3 linked regions of the Sus scrofa genome follow. The protein of the gene in region 3 interacts with the protein of the main gene of each other region in a pairwise test. Links are inferred from orthologs where the notes say so. Each region holds a gene or a part of one and is shown on either strand. Other genes may lie near its edges.

Region 1 (4,648 bases), on a different chromosome or scaffold from region 3:
AGCTGTGGTGTAGGTCGAAGACATGGCTCGATCCCATGTTGCTGTAGCTGTGGTGTAGGCCGGCAGCTGGAGCTCCAATTTGACCCTTGGCCTGGGAACTGCCATGTGCCGTGGGTGTGGCCCTAAAAAGAAAAAAAAAAGCAAATTTCCAACAGGAAAACTTCATTTTCTTCATTTCCCCAAGAGCTTCACTATCTATATATCCCTCAAATTCCTGATGTTCTGCAGGCAATAGGTTCACAAGGTACTGTAGAGAAAAATCCAGAGAAACCTGAGTCTGTTTGCTTGGCTGTGACTGTGAAACACACCTAGGTATAGACTCCTCCCCCAGTGCCCTCCAGGGGACCAAGTGCCAGGGACTGCTTCAGGTTCAAGAGGGAAAAGATGCAGCTGAGAAGACAAAGGATGGAGGGGGAAGGAGAGGGTCCTCTGAACATCTAGTGCTCAGCACAGATTTTGTTTCTACATTCACCTCCTGCCCACACTGGCTTTTTTTTTTTTCCCCCTCTATTCTGCAATGAATTCCCAAGAAAAACCCACACTCAATTCTCACTCCTGTCATTCCAAACCTCCCATCCTCCCCAAGTCACGCGGCCAAGGCATCAGTAATCGATCTTGGCCTTCTAGGTACAGCAATCCAGGATGAGCCCTATCTACCATCCTAGTCCTGACTACAGAAAGGAATCCAAGGGGACTCCTACTTGGTTGCTCGGCCAGTTCCTATGCTCACCTCTCAGTCTGAACTTGCTTGTATCTCACTCTCCCCACTTTTTTTTTTTTTTGGCTTATCTAATTTCAGCTTCCAAGGTATAATACTTTAACAACTCACTTCCCTGGCCTGCTTCTTTCACTTAACTAACATCCCCTAAGGACCTAAATTAGGCAAGGTCTCTCCTGGATGCTGTGAGACCAGAGACAAGAGGATGGGGTAGAGATAAGACTATACAATTACTACTGCAGGGTGAATATTGAGAAATAGGGCCAAAGGAGCAGAAGAGGAGAGCTGCGTGGGCTCACAGTGTGTTCTGCCCCTTCCTGCTAGGAGCAGGCACCTGGATGGTCCCTAGGAGGGTGGTGAATAATGGGCAGAAATGGGGGAAGGAGGGTAGAACAGCATGAGCTAAGACAGAAGAGGTCAGAAGGAGCAATTCAACTGTTAGACCTTCAGCTGCATAGAGGGAGTGGTAGCTATTATTACTATATTACTATTGTTGACTCTTACAGATGATTACTTATGTGCCAGGCTCCACTGCAAGCTTTATGTCTAATCTGGGTGACATCCACCTGGGACACACAGGTATGGTGCACCAGTCACCACCTGTTCAGATCAATGCCTGAGCTATATGGTTGTTAAAAATATTAAATCATTTTAATCCTCACAATGGCCTTGTAGGTAGGTATTATTACCCCCACTTTAAGGAAACCAAGGCACAGAGACTAACGAGAGGTGAGACTCAGGAGGGATGCAGGAGGTAGTAAGCACCCCACGCCAGGGCAACAAACTGCCCTGGCGCTTCACCTGGCCTGGCCTATCTTGTTAGGAACACCTTGTAGCATGGAGAGTGCCTTGAGGGAAGGGGCCCTGTTAATCCTACTGGAATCCCCAACAGCTGACTGAAACAAGGAAGGAACAAAGGAGCATAATGAGAGCCAGTTAGGAGTGAGCAAGATAATACAGCCCACCTGTCCAGCTCCTGGACTCAGCCTGGCACTGCCTGAAAGCTTTGTTCCTGCTGTGTGGGCAGGGCAGAGGCTCACCCCACCCAGCGCCACTCCATGCCCAGGTTAAAGCAGCAGAGAGCAAAGTGAAGAAGGCACGGAGGGTAGGCAGAGTGGCTGGCTACCACAGACACCCTGGGTCTGTCCTAAAACACCCAGCCTCTAAAGAAAGGTCACACTGACTAGAGGGGGCAGGGACAGAAATGTGCCAGGCAGACTGTTCTCAGCTTGGGCTCAAACTGGCTGACTTAGCTTCTCCTCTTCAAAGTCTCAAGCTGATGAATTTCATAACCCTCATTTATGCCAACAGACGCGTATTTACCTTTTTAAAACTTCAGGAGGCTGGGTTGAGCCCAAAGGGAGTTAAAGTCAAGAATCCCTCCCTGAAACTTCAGCTCAAGGTTGGAGATGGAGGAAAGACAGATAGAGAAGGTAAACACACAGGTCAGCAGAGCACCTGAGATGGATCCGGCGTTCTCTCAAAACGCCTTACAAATCAATTCCAACACTAGCAGCTCCCAGGTATTTCCGTCTTCCGGAGGAAAGGTGCTTAAGACAGCGTCCTCCACTAGCTCTCCTCAGGACAAGCCTTTCCCGGAAGGGTACACACACTCTAGAGAATTCAGCGGGGTCAGAGGGGCCATGGCCACCGTCCATGCCCACACCAGCCAGTCGCCTTCTTGTCACGGGTTCACCCGGTCCCAAGCCGGCCCAAATTCGGCTTGAACCCCTGACACCGGCACAGCAGCACAATCACGTGGCCCACCCACCCGACAAGGAAGGCAACCCCCCGCCCCCTCGCCGTCGACGCAGCCGGTCGGGACCAGCCCGACACCCGCCCCTTTCCCTCCCCCCCCCCAAACGCTGTGCAACCAGGAAGCGACGGGGCCGCGATGGGAAGGGGCGCGGGACAGTTGGGGGCCTTCCGGTAGAGGCCGCAGCGCCTGGCCAACGCCCCGTCCCGTGCCCTCGGCAGTCAAAGAACCCTCACTCACCTGGCCACTGGCCACCGGGGTAGGGGAGGCCGCGACGGTCGAACAGGAACACGGGCAGCAGCGACTTTCTCCACGGGCGTCCCGGAGTAGCACCTCGGATTGGCCTCGAGTTCTGTCCCACTACCGCTCTTTGGGCTTTCGGGGTTCTCGGGGCTCTCGGGACCCGCGGGCTCCGCAGCCGTCAGGGCGGGGCGGGAGGAGGAGCCTGCGAGGCGGAAAACTCCTAGGGCTCGGGGTCCTAATCCGCCCGGGGCGGAGCCGCGTGCGCCAGGGGAGGGGCGGGAGGAGGCGGTGCCGAGGGGCGTGGTCTGCCCCCAGCTCCCGCCCCCAGGTGAGAAGACGTTCGGGGTCAGCTGGCTGTAAGCTGCCTCTGCGAGGAAGGAAGCTACAGGCCTTCCGCCGCTGCGGGAGGAGTACTCAGCGGTCGCCCAGAGGTCGACATGATGCTGTTTCTCTCCACGCCTCTTGAGGTCCGTCCTGCCCTGCGTCTCACTCTCGAGGAGCGGATTCCCCAAGCCCCCTCCAGCCCAGAGTACCTTCCTTAGTGACTCTTTTAAAGTAAAGAACACAACAGTATGGAAATTGGAGTGGGAGAGTAGCTTTGTAGAGGAGAAACCGCGACCAACTACTAAAGCCAGACAATCAAGGTCAGCATCAAGAATGATAAATCAATAGTGATGGTATGAACCTATCGTGGTCTTCCTGCCAAGAATACATAATCCCATGTTAATCATGAGAAAAACATGAGACAAATCCCAGTTCTGGGATACTTTACGAAATACTGGACCAGTACTACTTAAAATTGTCAAGGTCATCAAAACCAGGGAAAAGTCTGAGACACACATGGTCACAGGCAGGAGTAAGCCTGAGGAGATTATGAAAACTAAATGTAATATGGTATCCTGGATGGGATCCTGGAAAAAGGACATTAGATTTAAATACTAAGAAAATCTGAGTGAAGTTAATAATACTGCATCAGTATTGACTCGCTCATTGTAGCAAAACACCAAGCCAACAGAAAATGTTAATAGAAAAAAAAAGGTGTTTATGAGAACCTTCTATTTGAAATTTTTCTGTAGATTTAAAACAATTCTAAATTTATTTTTAAAAAGGGTCATGCACGCATGCGATTTGTGAATATTTTTATTTTTATTTAACAAATGTTTATAATATATATTACATAAACATTTAAATATTTTTAAAAACCTGAGATTCACTCTTCACTCCCCCAGCCCAACTTAGGCGTGCCTTTCCTATATCACATAGATATACTTTTTACAAAACGGTGTTGCTGTATTTTTCTGCGACGTGCTTTTTAACTCAATATCTTGGAGGTCCTTTTCATGGAAGCGCAGCTAGATCAACCTGGTTCTTATTTAATCAGTACACAACATGCGCGATCTCGCGTGTAGCCATTGTTTAATACTTAGCTCCTTAGGAAGGTAGTTGCTTTTGGGGGGCTGTTAAAAAAAAAAAAAAAAAAAAAAAAAAAAAGAGCTGCTGGTCCGATTTACATTGTAATAGTGCTAGGAGTGGGGCTGGGCTGGGCGGGGCGGCAGGGTACCAGGCTGGGGGTGGGTGTTGGGCGCAAGGCGCGCACTCTTGCAGGATTCAATCAAGCCCTGCTACCCTGGGGATCCAGGCAACACCCCCACCTCCCCCAAGGCGTGGCCCTTTTTCGCGGCTGGACTGCATTTTTTGGAGATGATTGGTCGGATAAGGGTGAAATTCTGGCCAAAGGCTCGGAGGAAACAGAGTGGAGGGTCAGAGACACAAGGAGACTCTCCCCGGGTTATATTTCTGGTATGGGAGCCCGCAGCGGCGCAGGAGCGGTGACGACCCTTGCATCGGACCAGCGGCGTTCGGAGGGGGCTTCTGTTTCCCGGCACTTTCTCTGGGCTGGGGGCTTCGTTTGGAAAGGTCATCCGGCGTCC
Region 2 (4,416 bases), on a different chromosome or scaffold from region 3:
CCCTTGTCCCAAGCCCTGGGCTCTCGGTCCAGGCAGGTCTGAAGTTGGAAGCGAAGCTGGGGACAGTCTTGGCACCATCACCTCTCTCAAGTTTAGGTTTGAGAAAATGCACAGGAAACTGGGCACAAACAGGACCTTATCTTCGCCCTTTCCCTTCATTGATCTGAGACATTCTAGGCTTTGTTTAGAGGATGACAGAGTCACACTTACTTACTCAGGGACAGCAGAGGGGCCATTTTCACCTGAGAGCTTCTCAATTTAGGGCAAATATTTCCTGCTGTGGGAGATCAGGGCGAAAATTCCCAAGAATGTCTCACATAAATCACTACTTTCAGGGACAAAGTTTTAGGCACTTCCTAGGAAAATCTCTCAACTCCAGTCCAACCGGGTGACTTTGCAGGAACAGCAGCTTATTCTGGAAACAGAAAAGCTCTGCCAGCTCAGTCTACCTCTGGTCCTATTTCTTTTTTTTTTTTTTTTTTCGCTTTTTAGGGCTGCTCCCTTGGCACATGGAGGCTCTCAGGCTGGGGGTGGAATCAGAGCTGCAGCTGCCAGCCTACACCACAGCCACAGCAACACCGGATCTGAGCCTTGTCTGCAACCTCCACCACAGCTCACGGCAACGTCAGATCCTTAACCCACTGAACGGGGCCAGGGATTGAACCCGCATCCTCATGGATCCTAGATGGGCTCATTAACCGCTGGGCCACAAAGGGAATTCCTTTCTGGGCCTATGTCTAGCCTGCCTCCCAGATGCTTCCAATTAATGCCAGTCATTGAAGGCGAGGATTGGCTAGATTGGAAATGACCCAGGAACCAGGCTTCAGAACCCCCTGATCCAGATCAATGTTTTCTACAATCACCCAATCACAGGACTCAGCTGGGAGTATTGCTTCCCAGCAGGCCTCACTTCAAACCCACTGGGCTAAGGCTTCCAGGAGAGAGACTCCAGAATTTCTATCTTTGGCAAGTGCCCCCCAAATAACGGCTCTCACTTATTGAGAACTTAATCTGTGCCACTCACCATATTAAATGCTTTTTTTTTTTGGCTGCGCCCGGGGCATGTGGAAGTTCCTGGGCCAGGGATTGAACCAGCGAGACAGCTATAACCAGAGCCGGATCCTTAACCTGGCGAGGCACTAGGGAATTCCCAAATGCTTTTAATTGGCTTGTTTAATCCTCGGCAAGGACCTAGAAATTAAGGCACTTGCTCAGGATCACACAACGATCAAGGAGGGAGCCAGAATTCCACCCGAGGAAGTAGCATGGCTTCTCAGGCAGACATAAATGTGGCTAAGATTCTGACAAGGACCTGGGTGGAGCTGGGAGGTCTCCAGGCGACAGTGCCAGTGCAGATCAAAGGTGAGCCTTCTCTGCAACCTGGGAGGGCAGCACCCAACAAGGAGGCCTGGGTTACTTTAGGGCCCTCTGGCCTCTGGGCCAGCCATTCCCAGGGGCTGTCCTGCCTGCTCATGGCTTTAGAGAGCTGCCCTGGCCAGAGAGCCTCACCTCCGGGGAGGGTGGTGGGTGTACTAGGTGCCAAGGGTGGAGACAGGCAAAAGTTTCTAGGAGTCACCTGGCACCCTTTGCGACACCCCCCCCCATAAATTCTAAGGGCCCACCCAAACAGGAAGAGAAAACGGGGCACCTGCCTCAACTACCATCCCCCAACGCTCCATGCTTCTGAGGTCTCCAGAGTCACTGGGCTGGCAGGTCCAAAAGAGCTGCCTGTTTTCACTTCCCTGTCCCGAAGAGGAAAAAGCACCTTCCTCATCTATGCCTTCTAGAAATCAAGCCTATCTGAAGATTACTCTGCCGACGACCTCTCAAATGAACTGCAAGGCCCGCCGTGCGCAGAGCCGAGGGGGGTAGTGGTGGAAACCTCAGCGTTTGCAGGGTTGAGGAACCTCCACGGGGGGCGCGTTCTAAGAGCTCAAGGGGAGCGACCAGAGCCCAGGTCCCCAGGGGGAGGGAAAAGATGAGGACAGCAGGGACCAGTCTCAGTCCAGGAGGGGGTGTGAACGGACCCGTGAAGCTTCCCCTGCCCCTACTGCGGATGTGGGAGCTCAAAGTCCGAGAGGCCTGAGATGGGGTTTGGCGAGGGGTCAGATGAGTTGCCTTTTGCCTTCAGAAGCCCGAAAAAACAAGGCCAGCGGTATCTCCCAAGGCCAAGCCTCCACCCACCTTCTCCCGGCTCTAGTTCTAAAGCCACCTGCCCCAGCCCACGCGAGTCGGCGAAGGCAGGACAGAGCTAGGGAGAGGTCTTGGGGGTGGGGGACAAGGGCCCGCCAGCTGGTTTGGGGCTTTGGGAGCCAGGACGGAGTACTTACATCCAGAAGTGTGGCTGGCTGCAGCTGACGCCTCAGCTCGGAGAGGGAGCCGCCTTCACCCAGCCCTAGGGATCACTTCCCGGCAGGGCAGGCCAGGCGCAGGGGTGGGGCTTGGGCATTTAAAGGGCCCTTGCAGCTGGTTCTCGTTGAGTTTTTTGGGTTTGTTTCTCTCCTGTGGGAGGCTTTCACTGCAGCTGAAGGCACTGCAGCTCATTCAGTGCTCAGGAATGCCCGCCTCAGAGCCAGCTGGCAGCGCTGGAATGAAACTAGGAGGGGGTCCAAGGCCTAGGGCGGCGGCGGGGGGGGGGGGGGGTGGTGCTGAGTTGGCTTCTCCCCCCTCTGGCTGGCATTTCCCATCAGGGTGGGTCCGACTCTGCCTCTCCAGGCCTGCGTGTGCTCCAGCGGCAGTACCTCCTCTAAAGAGAAGATAACCTGCTACTTTTCTTTTTTTATTTTAGATTCAGAAAATTCAGCCCAGGTGTCCAAACAACGGTTCCATAGAAAACACACACACACATACACATGTCCTCTTTCTGGTAAGGTGCTGTGTTGGGAGTTCGCAGGGTCTCTGCTCCTCCCAGGTGCCCCAGCGCCCCCGGGGTAGGGAGGGAGGGCCAGCAGGTCAGGACTCTGCACCCTAAAGGCAGAGGCGCTCAGTACTTGCGCTGCCTGGGGAAGAGGCTACTTCCCGAGGCCCGGAGCGCGGGGCTGGGGGGGCTGGCGTCCTCTGCGTCCAGGCTGAAGAGGTCCCTGCCGGTCCGGAGGATCTGCTCCTCCAGCTTCTTGTGCCGCTTCATGTCCGAGAGGACCTTGTCCAGGCGGGCCTCCCGTTTCTGGCTCCGGGCTGAGCTTCCTGCAGAAGGGGAAGGAGAGAAATGTGGGCGCGACTGAGGTTCTGTGCCCCGGACCTTCCTGGGATCTTATGACTCACTTGAGGAGCTCGGGAAACAGAGCGACTTCTAGGCCTGTCCTGGAGGGGCTGTGGTGTAGGGCTGGGGCCTCAGATGGGGTGGGCCGTGAAGGCTGGACGTATGAGAAGGGGCAGGTAATGTGAAGACCTAGGAAGAGCAGCCCAGGCAGGCACCAGCAAGTGCAAAAGCCCCAGGGCAGGAACGGGGAGGTCTGCTCAAGGGCAAATGCAGAACTGGGGGAGACAGGAAAGATGAGGCCCAAGAAATGACTCACAGATCACGATAAGGGGTACGGATCTCTTTGTTTAAATGGAAGCCTTGGTGGGGGCACAGTGTGTGTGTTGGATTCTCTTTGTTTAAATTGTTTTAGGGCCGCACCCACGGTATATGGCGGTTCCCAGGCGAGGGGTCGAATCAGAGCTGTAGCTGCCGGCCGACACCACAGCCTTGGCAATGCTGGGATCCTTAGCAAAGCCAGGGATGGAAACTGTGTCCTCATGGATGAGAGTTGGGTTCATTAACCACTGAGCAACGATGGGAACTCCTGGATTCTCATTTTGATAAGCTCTTACACCCCAGCAATAAAATCCTTTGGAAGACTTTTTTTTTTTTTTGCTTTTTACCGCTGCACGTGCAGGACATGGAAGTTCCCAAGCTAGGGGTTGAAAGCTACAGCTGCCAGCCTATACCACAGCCACAGCCATTCGGGATCCAAGCCACATCTGCGACCTACACCACAGCTCACAACAACATCGGATCCTTAACCAACTGCGCAAGACCAGGGATCACACCCGCATCCTCGTGGATACTAGTTGGGTTCATTTCCGATGAGCCACAATGGGAACTCCTTTTTTTTTTAACGGCCGCAGCCATGGCACATGGAAGTTCAGGGACTGAATCCAAACCACAGCTGAGGCTACGCCCGATCCTTTAACCCAGAGCACCAGGCCCAGGATTGAACCCGTCCCTCTCCAGTGAACCAAGTCACTGCAATCAGATTCTTAATCCACTGCACCAAGCAGGAACTCCTCCTTCGGAGAATTTAAAACAGAATTGGGAGTTCCTGTCGTGGCACAGCAGCAACAAATCCTACTAGGAACCATGAGGTTGCAGGTTCGATCCCTGGCCTTGCTCAGTGGGTTAAGGATCCAGTGTTGCCGTGAGCTGTGGTGTAG
Region 3 (4,565 bases):
GACTGATAGGATTTGGGAAATTTAAACAGAAGAATGAGTTCCATGATCTGCATTATGTCTTGCAAAGTTTTTATGAGTGATGAGCACTGGGATTTCAAATAACAAATGCGAATGCAATCCCTGTCCCACTGCCTAATGAGAGAAGAACTTCATACTCACCCTTACTCTAGGGATCTACACCAGTGTGGTTAACTAACTAGAATCAGAGACAAGCGCTTCGAAGGAAGAGACCAGGGTTTTGTGACTACATGTGCCAAAGGAAGGTGTTTGGATGGGGAGAGAGAGAGAGAGGGAGTTGAGACACCGTCCCTGAGGACCACCTTCAGCTGAGATCTAATGGATGCAAAGGAGTTGAGGAGGCAAGCAGCAGGGGATAGTAACAAACACAGTTGCTTTGAAAATCTGAAAAAAAAAAAAAGGACAATCTATCTGAAAGAAAAGAGACAGGCTTAAGAGGCAGTTAAGGAGAAAACAGAGGATCCCTTTGGGTTTGGTGGACCAGAACAAAACCTTTATCCTGAATGCAAGAGGAAGCAATGATGTATTCATTAGATACTGCCTATAATATGAATATATGTATTTTTAAACATCACTGGCTATAGTGCAAACATCAAACCATAGACAAGCCAGTGAAGGTGAGATATGAAATGGTTAGATTATTAGCATTATTTAATCTTCAAAAGATTCTTGGAAAAGGTAATTATTTCCTAAATCATTGGGTTAGGCCTATAGAATCACTTGAAATTTGGGTAATATTTTCATTTAAATAAAGCCCAAGTGAACATATTATTAATGTAATAGCAAATATTTGTCTTTTATTAACTGTAAAGCATTTCACTAGATGTTCTACACATAGTTTCATTTAATTTCCAAATTGCCTGAATTAGAAAATATTATGCTCATTTTATAGATTAAAAACTGAGGCTTGGACTTACAGCAACTTGCTTAAAACTACCACACAACTATTCAGAACAAAAGTCAGATTTTGAAGCCTGATTCAGTCTTTCTATACCTGTTTTCCCACTTGAAAAATGGGGATAATTAATGGTATTTACCTCATAAGATTGTCTGATAATTAAATTAGTTAATCAACATTAGGCACAGTAAACTCTTAATTTTAGTCTATCATTGTTAGCACCATTATCATAAAGTACCTATATTATTGGACTTCAGAAATAAAATTGAGCTATTTTTCTTGCAATCTCTCAATTCTGATTATTATCTAATTTAATTATGTATCACCTACTATTACTTAGCTAATGGGTGGGTTAAAACATCCTCCAAGTGCCTTGGGTGCATATCATAGATTTGCTTATAATTCTTCAAATACCAATCACATAAAAATTTATAGCAGCAATTCTCAACTCTGGCTGCTTATTTAAATCACCTGAGAAATTTAAAGAAGTGACCAATCCCAGGGGTCCACAACCAGAGCTTCTGCTTCTGTTTTCCTGGGATAGTGCCCTGATGCTAATGTTTTCAACAGTTTGCAAGTAATACCTAAGTACAGGCACTTTTGAGAACTATCACCTTAGAGTCTTGGAGTCTTTTTACTCCACATTCTTTTAAAATGCAAACATCTGGATGAGATCCAGGCTACACTGAGATGTTTCTGGCTAGATGGGTAAACAATCCATCCATCTCCCGAGCACATTTATTTGCTCAGAATAGAATCAAAATGCATACACCCTTCTGCCCAAACAGATTCCTTTTGATCCTAAGTCCCCAGGATGGTCTCTCAAGATGTGGGTACCCTGCCTACTTGCAAATCTGGGTGCACCATGAACTCTGTCATTCGGTAAAATTCTGGTAATGTTGATAACTGCATTTGTTTAAATGAAAATCTCTGAAGCCTCCTAGGCAGTGGTTCAAAAGAAATAATGTATTCCTTGGTTTATAGTGATATGATCCAGTTACTTTTCTTAGAAAAGCAAGGAGTTTGGGGTTGGTAGATGCAAATTATTACATTTAAAATGGATACACAGTGGGAAACTACTGTACAGCTGTACAGAACAGGGAACTACGTCCATTCTCTGGAGTTAGAACATTACGGAGGATCATATGAAAAAGGAATATATATATATATATACATATATATACATATATATATATGACTGGATCACTTTGCTGTATAGCAGAAATTGAAAGAACACTGTAAATCAACTATACTTCAATTAAAATTTTAAAGAAAAGCAAGATATGATTATGTCTATAAAAGTGAAACTTTTACATTTTTGTGTATAACAAAATAAAAATGAGAATTATCCTAGGTAGCTATTTTTCTGTTGCCTGCAGCTTCCAGGTTTAACCAGTCATCTTCTGCATGACAATCACTGAACACAATTAACCCCAGATGACAAATGACTCAAAAACATCCAGAGATAAATTTCCTAAAAATGATTGCATGACCATAATTTTCAGAACAAATGGAGACTCAGTAAAATCTCTTACTTAATGTATGTATTTTGGGGTTTAATATATATGTGACCTTATATTTTATTTGCTGAATGTCAATTCACTACTGTTATTAACACTACACCTTTACTATCCTGTATAAATAAAAAATATTTCAATGATATTTATGATAATATATAGTCAAAGAAAGATGTATGCTGCCAATTTCATCACTGCACTTTTAACACAGAGACAGACAGACAGACACCCTTTTGGGAATATCAGTAATTGATACATTTTGGTTTTTTATTTTTACTTTTTGGTCTTTTGAGGGCTGCACCCCTGGCATATGGAGGTTCCCAGGCTAGGGGTCTAATCGGAACTATGTCTGCAGGCTTACACCACAGCCACAGCAACGCCAGATCCGAGCCACATCTGCAACCTACACCATAGCTCACGGCAACGCCAGATCCTTAACCCACTGAGCAAGACCAGGGATCGAACGCACAACCTCATGGTTTCTAGTCGGATTCATTTCCACTGCGCCACAAGGGGAAATCTGGTTTTTTATTCTTTAAGCTAATGTTTTACCTGAGAATCCTGCTGAAGGATATTCAGGGGGATTCTGAGCTGGTGAGTGTGTTCCCGGATAAGGAGCCTTCATTTGCGCATCTGCAGTTCAAGGAGAGGTAAACATTTATCTTCTTAAAAAGTACATGTTAGAAAGAAAAATGCATTGTTCTTAGAGAATTTTTGTTTATATACGCCTGTGTTGTATTGAAAGAAAGTGAATTATTCACTGAAAAAAGCTGTGCCTATTATCAGAATTAATTTGCAGTAGAATACTGTTTCAAACAAATTCCCTTTGGATAAAATAGGCAGCTAAGTTCTGGGGCTGAATTTCTAGTTTGCAAAAATGCCTGATGAGTATTCTCTTCCATATCTTGATTTTGTTGTTATTAGAAAAGATAGATTGTTTTAAACTACATGTAGACTGTGAAGAAAAAGATAAATGAAACTAGCTGGATGTGGGAATGGTGGAACCAAGGATTATAGGTGATTTTAAAGATATCTATAATTATTGATTGAAGAATTATGTTCTAATTATTTAAAATAATACATATAACATACATATACTTCAGTATTTAAATTCCCTTTTTACGCGTACTCTGGAACTACACTATGAAGTTTGAATATAGGACATTCCAGTATTTGACTGATTTTGTCATACAAAAATCATAACTGACAATTACAATAAATAAACATGGTAATTTATGTTAGTATCTGCTAATCAATGTGGTTTGAATAATATATGTATGAATAGTTCCATTTCCCAGTTTTCATATTTGTGTTTTTCTAGTCATTCCTTTAACAACTGCCCCAGCCAGAAAAATATTTACTAGCATCTCCTGTGTCATCCCTATGGCTACACTGGCTCTGCCTTCATGGAGTTTATGGTCTCGTGGACACTGTCCTCATACCATGTTGTCCTCTCTTTGTTATGACTTATTAACTATGTAAATTAAAAATAGTTTCTTTTTGAATCATGAGGACATGGCATCAGTATGGAAGATAAAGTTAATGACACTTTCAATCTGCACATTTCCTGTATGCTTTCCTATCATGGGCCAGTCATGGGCTTTCAAAACCCACTCAACTCATGTGATTTGAAGGAAGGAAGGCTGGGTTGTGACCCACCCCCACCACTTCCTCCTCCATTCTATTGACTTCATAGTAACTTCAGCAGAATGGGATCCATGGATACTGCAAATTCAGGCGACAGAGAATCCTCCACTTCATTCAGGGCTTTTCCCTGTACAGACACTGCAGCACACCCCAAATTACCACATATTTCTGCAGTATCAAAAGCCATTCCATCCTAACCATCCCTTCTGTTTCCTGGCTTCAGGTGAGTGGCTGAGCTCCTAGTTCTATAGCTCTCGAGGCTCTGCCCACAGCCCCCACTCCCAACCTGAGCTTGAAAAAAAAGGATCAGACTCAATAGATCTCAAGGAAACACACTGCAAGTGTGACTTCAAGACCCATCCTTAAATGATATATCACAGTTTGGCACCTCTTAGTTCATAAACTCTGGGGTTTTGGTATCAGAGCAATGATCCTGAAATGTTTCAGTAATTCCAGGGGGAATTTATACACTGAGGAAAATAAGT

The links. The genes of interacting proteins can lie anywhere in the genome.
Region 1: the proteins of PLSCR1 (region 3) and ANXA11 interact in a two-hybrid assay, tested with the Homo sapiens proteins (2 studies listed by BioGRID and IntAct). The two-hybrid records come from large-scale screens. The link is inferred for Sus scrofa from reciprocal best matches to the Homo sapiens genes PLSCR1 and ANXA11.
Region 2: the proteins of PLSCR1 (region 3) and MVP interact in a two-hybrid assay, tested with the Homo sapiens proteins (2 studies listed by BioGRID and IntAct). The link is inferred for Sus scrofa from reciprocal best matches to the Homo sapiens genes PLSCR1 and MVP.

Annotation. Positions count from the first base shown.
Region 1 is NC_010456.5:81,833,540-81,838,187, reverse strand, and holds the start of ANXA11 (annexin A11), read right to left. Parts: upstream 2,984-4,648; 5' UTR 2,715-2,983; intron 2,428-2,714; exon of another isoform or gene 2,042-2,427; intron 1-2,041. UniProt on the Homo sapiens protein: Binds specifically to calcyclin in a calcium-dependent manner. Required for midbody formation and completion of the terminal phase of cytokinesis.
Region 2 is NC_010445.4:18,055,268-18,059,683, reverse strand, and holds the start of MVP (major vault protein), read right to left. Parts: upstream 2,984-4,416; 5' UTR 2,331-2,983; intron 1,192-2,330; exon of another isoform or gene 1,025-1,191; intron 1-1,024. Other genes in the region: PAGR1 (PAXIP1-associated glutamate-rich protein 1), read right to left, coding at 2,984-3,183. UniProt on the Homo sapiens protein: Required for normal vault structure. Vaults are multi-subunit structures that may act as scaffolds for proteins involved in signal transduction. Vaults may also play a role in nucleo-cytoplasmic transport.
Region 3 is NC_010455.5:86,856,862-86,861,426, forward strand, and holds the start of PLSCR1 (phospholipid scramblase 1), read right to left. Parts: upstream 3,059-4,565; coding exon 2,986-3,058; intron 1-2,985. UniProt on the Homo sapiens protein: Catalyzes calcium-induced ATP-independent rapid bidirectional and non-specific movement of phospholipids (lipid scrambling or lipid flip-flop) between the inner and outer leaflet of the plasma membrane resulting in collapse of the phospholipid asymmetry which leads to phosphatidylserine externalization on the cell surface.